Astyanax mexicanus: one gene and its partners. The protein of the gene in region 1 purifies or fractionates together with the protein of each later gene. This does not show direct contact. Links are inferred from orthologs where the notes say so. Each region holds a gene or a part of one and is shown in the gene's direction. Other genes may lie near its edges.

Region 1 (3,754 bases):
CTGCTGAAAGGCTGAAGGAGGCTGCTTACTATTCTAACTGTAACTATGTTAGCCTTAGCGATACTGTGCTAATGCTAGCTATGTTAGCATTAGCGATACTGAGCTAACGCTAGATATGTTAGCCTTAGTAATAACGTTACTGAGCTATAGCTATAGCTATGTTAACGCTAGCGATTCTGAGCTAACTTTAGGTAAGGTAGCCTTAGCTATAGTGATGCTAAGCTAACACAGGCTAGGTTAGCTCACTATCAGTTAGCTACATGCTAAGAGCAATGTTATTGCTAACCAGTAAACTGAGTAATAATGTTGAATTAGCTGTTAGGAAAAAGGTGTAAGAGGAACTTCTCATCTTAATTATAGAAGCTGGAGTCTAGCTGTATAAACTGTAAAATGTTCTGCCAAAATAGATTTTATGGTTCTGGTTTACCTTAAATTCTTTCAGAAGTAACTGATAAAATATTATAATTCTTGCACCAGCTCTATTCCCTCCACCTAAATAATTCAGCACATATTATTAAGTTAATGGCTGCCCTTACTAAATTGATATTTTGAAATTTATTATTTTAAGATAAAAAAATAGTTTTTTTGAGATACATCTTTATTTTAAGATACAAAATAATAAAAATAATGACTTAGTATCTCAAAATAATGAGAGAGCAAAACAATGATGTGAAAAAAGGTATGATATGAATGACTATTATTATTAACGAGTTCTAAATAATTTCTTAATAACTCTGTCTTTGTTACTTTTGTGCTTTAAAAAATTGATATATTTGAATTTATCACATAAGTTATTAGAGTGATTGAGTAATTTGTGCGTCATTATTATTATTATTATTATTATTATTATTAACTTTTTATTGCAATCTTTTTCTTGACTACTTTTTTCACATAACAACCTCACTACTTTTCCATTGTATATTTTGTATATTAAGTATTACATATTAAGTATTATTATTATTATTATTATTATTATTATTATTATTATTATTATTATCATGACGCTGCGCGCGCCCCCGGTCGGGGGTGACGTCACGGGCATCATGTCGACTGGCCGCGTGCGCCATCTTGAGAGGAATAAGAAATCTCGGGCGATGCGCGCGGCGCGCTGATCGGACCCGACCGGACCGGAGCGGAGCTTCTCCACGGTTTGGGCCTGCGCTGCGATTCCCCGTTACGGGCAGCGGAAGACCGGCGGGAACTCGCGGCCGGAGAAAGAGAGAGAGAGCCGGGGGCCGGGGACAGATCTGCTGCTGCTGCTGCGGAGCGACGCGATGGCAGGTTAGAGCTGAAGTTTGGAGGAGGCGGAGGAGCAGCAGCGGAGGAGGAGAGGAGAGGAGGCGGGAGGAGGCTGCTGGTTACCCGGACTGAACTGCTACTTCACCCGGCCTGGACCCCCCTGTCTCTCTCTCCCTCCCTCTCTCTCTCTCCCCATCTATCACAATGTCTCTGTATTTCTCTATTTCTGCAGAACACAAACAATCAATCATTCAATCAAGCACCCATGCATTCACACACACACATATATGTACACATATACACACACTGTACTGTACTGTTCATAATCGCAGTGCACTGAAATGTGTGTGTGTGTTCTCTGTGTGTTTCTGCGCCGCGCGCCGCTGCAGGGGTCGGAGGAGGGAACGATTTCCAGTGGTGTTTCTCGCAGGTGAAGGGGGCCATAGACGAGGATGTGGCGGAAGGTAAGCCCGGCGCGTGCCTCTATCTGCATCTTTATATGCATCTAAACCAGCGTAACTGTGGTGTTGATGTGCTGCTGCTGCTGGTTTAGTGCAAGAACGAACGCACGCACGCGGGTGTTTAACGTTAGTTTATTTAAGCGTGCATGCACCCCGGTGCATGCACATATATGAGCTAGTTAGCTAGGTTAGCTATATGTGCATATGTCTTCTCTAGCTAAGGTGGCTAACTAGCCGCTCGCTGACTGCTGACAGAGACTCGTGCTTGCTTAGCGTTAGCCTTAGCATTAGTCTGAGTATTAGCATTAGCCTGAGCTTTAGCATTAGCATTAGCCTGTGCGCGCGACTATGGGAAGTAGTAGCACTAGGGAGGAGGAGGAGGAGGGTGCAGGGAGCTGGTTAGGCCATGCAATTTGTGTTCGTAATTTCTCAGCATGGAAAATAGAACTCGTCCAGCTCGTTCAGCCAGTGCGTCTTTACGCACGAGCCAAACCCGAGCCCATAGCTCGAGCCTCGGGTGTGTGTGTGTGTGTGTGTGTGTGTGTGTGCGCGCGCGCGTGCAGGCGGGCGCTGTGTGGAGGGATGGGAAGAGAGGGATGATTCAGTGCCATGTTCCTCTCACCTCACACTCCAGCACAGACAGGGCTGTAGGGCAGCTGCAGGGAGGAGGTGGATCATAGGCTTTTACTTTATTTCAGTAATCTAGTTAAAAATGTGAAACTCATATATTATATATGCATTAAACACACAAAGTGATCTATTTTAAGCGTTTATTTCTTTTATTGTTGATGATTATGAAGCTTACAGCCAATGAAAACTCCCAAAATATCAGTGTCTCAGAAAATTCGAATATTATATATAAGACCAACTGGTACTTTTGGCAGTGTGCCAAGTCCTGCTGGAAAATGAAATCTGCACCTCCAAAAATAAAATCACAGAAATATTGAATTGATAATAAAACACAGTTGATCAACATCAGCAGATGACAGACATGTCTCTCTAAACAATCACTGATTGGTGGAAACTTTACACTAGACCTCAAGCAGTTTGGACTGTGTGTCCAAACTGTGTATATATGTGTGTATATGTGACTGTATAAAATGCAGTAAGTTTTTGAATAGACTTTTTAAAGTAATGTTCTAGTGAAATATTTAATCTTCCAGTAGTCTAGTATTCAGTAGTTTAATATAATTTATTTGGCTAATTTCTGTTGATCCATCTATCAGGAAATTTTGATACAAAAACTTGAAACTGAACTGCTTGAATTTTTGCACCAGGAATAAAGCAGCATAAAGTTATCCAAAAGCAGTGTGTAAGACTGGTGGAGGAGAACATGATGCCAAGATGCATGAACAAACTGTGATTTAAAACCAGGGTTGTTCCACCAAATATTGATTTCTGAACTGTATGTATATTATTTGAGGTCTGAAAGTTCTGCATCTTTTTTGTTATTTCAGCCATTTTTCATTTTCTGCAAATAAATGCGCAAAATGAGAATATTTTAATGTGGGAGAAATGTTGTCTGTAGTTTATAGAATAAAACAACAATGTTAATTTTACTCAAACATAAACCTATAAATAGCAAAATCAGAGAAACTGATTTTTATAAAATTGGTGTAAAATAGTTTATTTGGATCATTTCTTTGAAGTTACAAGGTTCTTTCCCCTTTAAACAATGAAATGTGCAATAGAGCTGCTTCTCCTTTTCTTCTTCTATAGAGTGGTGTATTTGTGTTGTATTATTGTAAGGTCAGTGCAGTGATCTGTTGTTTGCGTGTCTGTAGCGTGAGTTTACTCTGAGACGTGTGTAGCTGCTGTTGTGTCGCTGTGTGAGGTCACGCATAGGACGAGCAGAGACAGACATATTCAGAAATATCACACATTGAAATGAGTACAGCGCTCTGCTCACTGCATGCATACAATTCTGTCCAATCCGGGGCCAGAATGATGTGAAATAAAAAAAAATTAAAAAGGAATTTTGTGTGTGTAGGGTGGTTTATTGTGAGATGCTCAGTTTTGAGAAAATCTATTAACCCATAATTGATCAGTGTTTT
Region 2 (3,754 bases), on another chromosome or scaffold:
TAAACACTGGTTTAGATTTATTTCAGCTCTGTGATATTACACAGCTCCAGCTCCAGCGGCTGCAGTGTGTGTGGTGAGTGTGTGTGGTGTGTGTGAAGCGGAGTGACAGCGGCTCTGAGAGACAGACTGAGAGCAGGGTGCTCAGCTGAAGAGCGGCTACAGAGTGAGGGAGGGAGTTACTCACCGAGGCTGTTTGTTGATCCATCCATGTCGGAGTCGCGCGCTGCCGCCGCCGCCGCCGCTGCTGTTCACACCTCTCGGAAGTAGCAGCTCATGCTGGGAGAAGTGCAGTCCATTCCTGCCCAATATAAAAATCAGTACGGCGTTTAAGATCCGCGGTCCTCAAGTCTTAAAACACACTCACACACAGTGTGGACAGGAGCGCACGTGCGTGTGCGTGAAGTGAAGAAATGCAAGACCACTCCAAACTCCCCAACCCAGGAAATGAGCTGCGCAGCTGCGGAGGCGAGCAAGTGCGCGATGAGGAGAGAGAGAGAGAGTATGAGTGTGTCTATGACTGTGCGGATGGATTTTTTAATCCATGCAAGAGATATAAAAGCTGTAATCCAGTTAACTATGTTCACGCAAACTATTCCCCCCTCTCATTACTGAGACTCAGAACTCACTTATCTAAACTCCCGCTGAAGCGAGGCGCCACAGCTCCAGTTCAGCCCAGGAAAATAACCAAAAAAAAGAAAAGCAGAAAAGTTTTGACTGTAAAACTGCCAGTTCACTGCGTCCCCTGCCGACGATGCTGCAAACAACAGCCAGGACAAGAGGAGACATGAGGTCGCAACAGCCCTGCAACAGCCTAGAGGGCGCCAGAGAGAAAAACACTAAACCAATACCAATATTACAATGTTCTTTTGTCTGTTTTTGGTATCAATATTATTAAAAAAAAAAACGAATTAGGTTTTGTTTCTATTCATGTGTTGTTTTGTGTTTCCTGAAAAAAAAATTGAAAATAAGTTGATTAGGTGATTATTTTAGGATGGTCTCCGTGATTTCCTGGTGCGGAACTAAAGCGGCGGAACTATAAGCAGAAGGTGAATGTTTCCTGTGAGTGTGTGAGGACAGAGGACGGACCGGTGTTCAGTCGAGTTGTGCTACCTTGTCAAACCGTGCTACCCTAGTAGTATGTTTAACTTTAAAAATGCAAAAGAAGCACCTTATTAGAGCATGTTCTCAGCGGAAGTCTATGTAAATCTGTGGAGAGTATAAATCACTGTATTATTGTACAGTTTGTATAGTTGTGACAGTGAGAGGTCATTAGAAACTACTTTTGTATTAAAAAAAAAATAATTATTGTATTTATTATTATTAATTTCCATTTGTACTTTTTATGCAGTGGCAAGGAGTCGTTGTTGTTTAATGCACAAAAAACAGAATTTTTTTTTATTATTTATTTATTACACGAGAAATAATTAATAACTGTAGGTTAGCGCATGCGCAGTGCGTTTAGGAAGCACGTATCGATGGATAGCACAACTCGACGGAACACCTAGCCGAAGTATAGCTGGGTTATGGCGGCGTGTTGTGAAGGAGATGTGACCGCTGGAGATTTAGAGCTACAGCTCCATTAAACCGCCTTTAAACCGAGTCCAGACTCAGACTGCACCACGGGACACTATCTACCAGCCTGACCACGGTAAATAATCACACACACACACACACACACTGTATTAATACACCATGTTAACCCGGGTTAACCTACCGGCTCCGGCACAGGGTCAGTTACGGACCTGCCCGTATTAAATAACTACATTAACTTCAGATAACTTCAACTCTGAAAAAAATAAGAGACCACTTCAGAGGTTTTCAATTTGGTAAAATCAAAGGAGCTGTTTATCTAACGTTACCCAGTTATACCAGTTAACTGCATGTGCAATGTCAGTGCTTTGGTTTAAACTGTAACCACATTATTCTAGCTATGAGTGGATTAGAGCAGCTGTAAATTATATCATCATTTTTAGCTGTATATTAGTTATAATTGCCTAATTCTATAAGAGTTAGGTTGCTAATGTTAAATGTAATATTTTATACGTGTTATGTAATACTACATAATTCCTTATGCATTAGTTAGCTAGTTAGCTGTATCACTATTGTTATAGCTGTTCATTTTCTATAACTACAGTACTCTGTGTAACTATTTATGTTAGATAAGATTAATCAAGATTAATCCGTTTACAAGCCATGTTTATGTAAACTCACATTTGTATATTAAATGATTTTAGAAACCTAACTAGCTACTGTAAGGATTTCTTTCTTTGTTTTTATAGGTACATTTCATTATCGTGAATTGGGATAGAAAATAGAAATATTATACTGCCTTGTTTTCAGATTTGTTTCATTTTTACTGTATGCGATATTGATGATTGATTATTGATTATTAATATTTGTTAAGTGAAGTAAACTTAAGTGAAGTAAGTCCTATTCTATTCAATTATCTTTGCAGAAATAATGAAATCTCACCATGAAGATCACTAGATTTCTCATGCGAACCCAGCATGCTGGGTGGATCACTCTTTTCGTCAAGACACCTATCAAGCCCAGCTGTTTTCATGCGGCTCTCCTGCGGCCCCCAATCCCACGTATCTGCATTGGTCAAGTAAGTATTTACTTGACTGTTTGTGTTGACAGTTTAAAAGTACGACATGAACTAGCAGATTAGCAGGATTTTTACACAGATGCTACACTTTTTGTCCAAATATTTGTGGACACTCCTTCTAATGAATGCATTCAGCTGCCTTAAATTGCACCCAATAGAACAGGACTCTCTGGATCAGATACACAAATACACTGTTTGCACCATGCCTAATCAAGGTGTGGGCTAGACTGCTAACCAGCTAACTCACCAGGCATTGAGCTGTGGATCAGCAGGATTGTGTTCTCTGGAATTATTGTGCCTTTTTCCGTACTGTTTGGATGAGTTAGGGAAATGGAGATGAGGAGGCAGGGTGGTGATCTTCCAACGTTCTACCTTTACTAACTTTTTTTTTTGGTCACAGAATTCAATCATATTTTCACAGCAGTGCTCTAAAATGTCTTGTGTGCTTTCCTGGATGTTGGAGATTGTTACCTCAACTGGGACTAGATAAACTAGATTTAAGAAAATGAAAGAGCTGGTGTCTATATATGTTTGTTTGAATATGTATTTCTACATGTGCTGTTTTTTCTTTTGTTTTAAGGAGGCAAGATGGATTCATTGTGGTTCCACAGTTTACAAGGACAAGCCGGACAATTCAGATCTGAGCAAGTTATTTGAAAATGAAACGAAGGCCAAGTCTTTGGTCACACATGATGACTTGTTTGAGAGAACAGCTAAAGATGCAAAGAATAAAGCCAGTTTCAACAGAGTGGTTGATGTCTTCAACAAGCAGGACATCAGGCGCCGTGGACATGTCGAGTTTATTTATGCTGCTCTACAGAAAATGCCAGAGTTCGGCGTAGAGCGGGACCTTGCTGTCTACAATAAACTGCTGGATGTGTTTCCCAAAGAGGTTTTTGTGCCTCGAAACTTTATTCAGAGGATGTTCAATCACTATCCCAGGCAGCAGGAGTGTGCAGTGCAGGTGCTGGAGCAGATGGAAAATTATGGTGGGTTGTGTTTACCTTTTCTTTGGCCCAAAACTTACTTAATACTTATTAATCACATCTCATGGAATTTGCTAGGCTGGGGGTATCAGTTAAAAAAAAAAGAATAGGCCAGAATGCAAACCAGCACATAATCTTTGTTACAAAAAAAAAAAAAAGA
Region 3 (3,627 bases), on another chromosome or scaffold:
GTCTTAACAAAATGCCAAAACTGATCAACCGACTTTACCAAACAGCCTAAACTAGTAAATCTGCTTTACCAAATTAAACCAGCTTTGTTGAATTGGTCAGGCTGAAAAACCAGTCCATTAACATTATGAAAAATACACTTATAATTGGCCAGAGCTGAGCTGATTAACCAGGGTATGTTTTCACCTGAATCACCAGCTTATTTTATTCGCCTTGACCAGTACATACCAGTCCAGACTATCTGAAATCAGCTGGGCTGTGTTTTTTAGCAGGGTTCTCACACTCTCCTCCACACACACTGTAAACACAAAACGTGTTACGTCACTCCCTGCTTTTCCCCGCGCGGTGTTTTGCGGGTTGTGACCTATATCGAGCACACAGTGGGAAAGATAACCTGGAATTGTTTACCAGAGGACCGCTGCGTATTTAAATGTATTAAGCCTTCGCGAGGCGTTCAGCTATTTCAGTCTGGTGTCACATTGGGCTTTAGCTGGGTCCTGAAACAAAACACCGCCTCCCCTCCCCCTCACTAACGGCTCCCATTCACATTTGCTCAGACACCGCAGAGGATTTGCACAATAGGACCACGTGACCCGCCTGTAGGAGACACAAACCATTACATCAGTCCAGGATGTTGGCTGAAAGCAAGGAGAGTTAAAGGGGACACGGCCATTTTTATTTAACAGCGGTCAAAAACAAGACATTGCACGCCTTAAAATAGCACAGTCTGTGAGATTTTACAAAGTGAGTTGTATTTTAAAAAGAAAACCACCATTTCACCGTTTTAGCTATATTTATGTTTGTAAGCATGATTTTAGACTCGTATCAGTCGTTTTATAAATGATAATACAGATCCTCAGTGTTTATAGCCACCATCAGAAGATAATTACAGTCTAAGAGCCCAAAAATACTGCTGTTAATTTTACACGTAATTTTTTTAGTTATTTAATTTTTCATTGATGTTTTTAGTAATAATTCGGTTGCTCAGCCTAAAAACATTTCGGTCTCTTTAAATTTTTCTCCCACGTTAGTATTTAAATATGACTAATCTGCATCCCGCGTTCCGATTGGTCCGCAGTGGTTTCGCGGGGCGTGGTTGACAGCGTCGGTGGCGTTCAGCGCGCGATGTGATTGGTCAGCGTAGCCGTTACGTCCGGGTATAAAAGCGGTCTAAATATAGAAACGGTCTCATTCCTCTCTAGGCTGTTGTTGGGTGAGAGAGACCGTACGGAAGGTAATGCAGGCTTATAGTATAACCCAATAACATAGAATTATCAGTATTACGTTCTTTAACCACAGAAATGTGGCGGTTGGTTTTATTTATCGTATCAAGTTGATAAAACGAGTAGAGAACCATATTTTTTCCTAAATTAGAGGAATTGTAAGGCTTCTTTTATTTTAAAATAGGTTTTATTTTCATTTAAAAACTACTTGAAGACCAAGTGAGTGTTTCTAAAGCTTGTTGGACCATTTCTTTTGACGTTTTTGGATGGACAATGTTTCAATGAGACTCACACTTGAAGGAGAACAAGCCTGCTGACAAGCCTTCTCTGACTGGAGCTGAACTTTGAAACTGCTTGTATTTATTTTGCTTCGAGTGTTCCTGAATCGAGCCTGACCATGGAGTATAAAGTGGAGGCCCATCGGATAATGAGTATCTCCCTGGGGAAAATTTACAACTCCCGGGTTCAACGAGGAGGCATCAAGCTCCACAAAAACCTCCTGGTGTCTCTGGTGCTCAGAAGTGCACGCCAAGTGTATCTGAGTGATTACTACAGTGGGGTTTGCCTCAACACCCAGCATGTTGAGGCCAAGGAGTGGGAGCTGATGGATTCCAACCAGGAGAAGCCACTCACTCCAGCCCCTGAGGAATCTCTGTCCCCATCAACTGACTGCAACCAGAATCCTGTGGTTCCAGAGGATCCTGAGGTTCAGCACACCAGCCAGGCTGTGGAAGACTCCACAGATCTCCACAGCGTCTACTCCAAACATCAGGCCGAAGAGGAGTCTTCCTCAGAGGATTCTACTACTGATGTTTCTCTCACATCTTCTCCTGTGACCTGTGAATCTCAATGTGAAGCTAAAGGAGCTGAAGTGAGTTCTTCGGACTGTGAGGCGGATGCTAACCCCGCCACGGTCACAGAAGGGAATTCACAGCAACCACCGAAAGCTCACTCTTGTTCAAACAGGAAGCGCACTGCTGAGAAGACAGCCAGCAATGACTCTCCTGTAAAACGGACAAAGGTGACTTCCTCAAACTCCTCTGAGGAGGAAGCGGAGGAGATGGACACGGGCAATGTCTCTAATCTCATCACAATCTTTGGCTCTAGTTTTTCAGGACTTTTAACCAAGGAGAGCTCTGAGCCTGAAGCAGAAACAGAAGACAGTGATTCAGGGTCAGGGCAGATCTGCTGTGACCAAATGCTAAAGAACCTGAACCCTTGGAGCACGGCCATCGTGGCCTTTTAAAAACCAATCACAGAACTTTGGTGGAAGTGTGGTTTTAAAAAAGGAAACCTGTAACATTCACACATGGCCATTTTTGTGCTGTACTTCTAGACTGGGTTCCCCCCATAACACGTGGTGAGGCATGTATGTGTGTGGTATGGGACTTCCCCTACATAAGTGGTGCTACCAAGCACAAACTGGGCCTGGTGTGTTTGGACATGCCTTTGTAAAGGAAAGAATGTGAACATGCTGGTACTGCTACGTAGAGCCCTGCCGTGTCAAAGGAATGAGGAGGCCACTGGAGTGAATTTGAACATTTACAGCCCTGCAGTGGAGAGAGGGGGGTGGTCGCTTCATTCAGTACTCCAGCAGTCTGAATGGGTGACGAGTGTGAAATGTTATGCTAATGACATCTGTACAAAGTTAAATGTTACGCTGATGTAAGAACTGACCACAACAACGGTCTACCAGACTTTGGGTGCTGGTTTTCTCTGTCTTTGTTTTAAAAAGACCTGTACATTTGTAACATTGTTCTTGTACATACTGCCTCTGATGTTGCATTATGAATCTATGTATTTTGGTATTTACTATGATGACAATTTACGTGGTGATCACGTATTAAACTTTTGTGAAATGATTTTGCTTTGTTTTATGTTTCTTTCCAGCGACACACTTCTGAGTAGACCAAACATCTCGGCCGCTGAAGCTAGACTGTAGCTAAAGTATTGTTCAGGAATCTGCTGGCACAAAATGCAAATTACTTCCTCCTGTTTTGAGAAATATTACTCAAGTTTCGAAAGTGATGTAACATTGTTTTTTATGACTACTGTCAGACTATGACTCAGACCTGCTACACATTCTGAGAGCCAAACTTGCAAAGAAAATTCCAGCTATCGAAATACATTATCTTAAATGCACAGTTTAAAGTAGACAACCCTCCCACACTTACTTTTAAATCCAGCCAAACCTGGGAAGACCCGTGCCTGAGAACAATACCAGTGAAAAGAGAAGAAATGCTTAAAGTGCTCAGGCTCTGTTCTACTGAAACACTTTCTGTCTTCAGCCGGCCTGTTGTAAAATGAGCCATTGTGCCCTGAAGCATGTGTGGTATGTGGGGTTTAGTTTCAGTGCAGACTCTAAAGCCCAGCCTGACTCAGACTGTTTAGGGCTGTTTAACATGA

The links. Proteins that work in one complex are often made in the same cells at the same time.
Region 2: the proteins of ppp2r2d (region 1) and ecsit purify together in Homo sapiens (affinity purification with mass spectrometry; 3 studies listed by BioGRID and IntAct, counting the BioPlex papers as one, with this or other methods). This does not show direct contact. The link is inferred for Astyanax mexicanus from reciprocal best matches to the Homo sapiens genes PPP2R2D and ECSIT.
Region 3: the proteins of ppp2r2d (region 1) and ier5 purify together in Homo sapiens (affinity purification with mass spectrometry; 3 studies listed by BioGRID and IntAct, counting the BioPlex papers as one, with this or other methods). This does not show direct contact. The link is inferred for Astyanax mexicanus from reciprocal best matches to the Homo sapiens genes PPP2R2D and IER5.

The regions. Positions count from the first base shown.
Region 1 is NC_064422.1:11,981,366-11,985,119, forward strand, and holds the start of ppp2r2d (serine/threonine-protein phosphatase 2A 55 kDa regulatory subunit B delta isoform), read left to right. Parts: upstream 1-1,035; 5' UTR 1,036-1,274; coding exon 1,275-1,281; intron 1,282-1,628; coding exon 1,629-1,703; intron 1,704-3,754. UniProt on the Homo sapiens protein: Substrate-recognition subunit of protein phosphatase 2A (PP2A) that plays a key role in cell cycle by controlling mitosis entry and exit. Involved in chromosome clustering during late mitosis by mediating dephosphorylation of MKI67.
Region 2 is NC_064415.1:31,116,299-31,120,052, reverse strand, and holds the start of ecsit (evolutionarily conserved signaling intermediate in Toll pathway, mitochondrial), read left to right. Parts: upstream 1-1,471; 5' UTR 1,472-1,648; intron 1,649-2,455; 5' UTR 2,456-2,473; coding exon 2,474-2,608; intron 2,609-3,188; coding exon 3,189-3,597; intron 3,598-3,754. Other genes in the region: eml3 (echinoderm microtubule-associated protein-like 3), read right to left, coding at 185-209.
Region 3 is NC_064423.1:15,821,016-15,824,642, reverse strand, and holds ier5 (immediate early response gene 5 protein), read left to right. Parts: upstream 1-1,173; 5' UTR 1,174-1,618; coding exon 1,619-2,467; 3' UTR 2,468-3,083; downstream 3,084-3,627. UniProt on the Homo sapiens protein: Plays a role as a transcription factor. Mediates positive transcriptional regulation of several chaperone genes during the heat shock response in a HSF1-dependent manner. Mediates negative transcriptional regulation of CDC25B expression.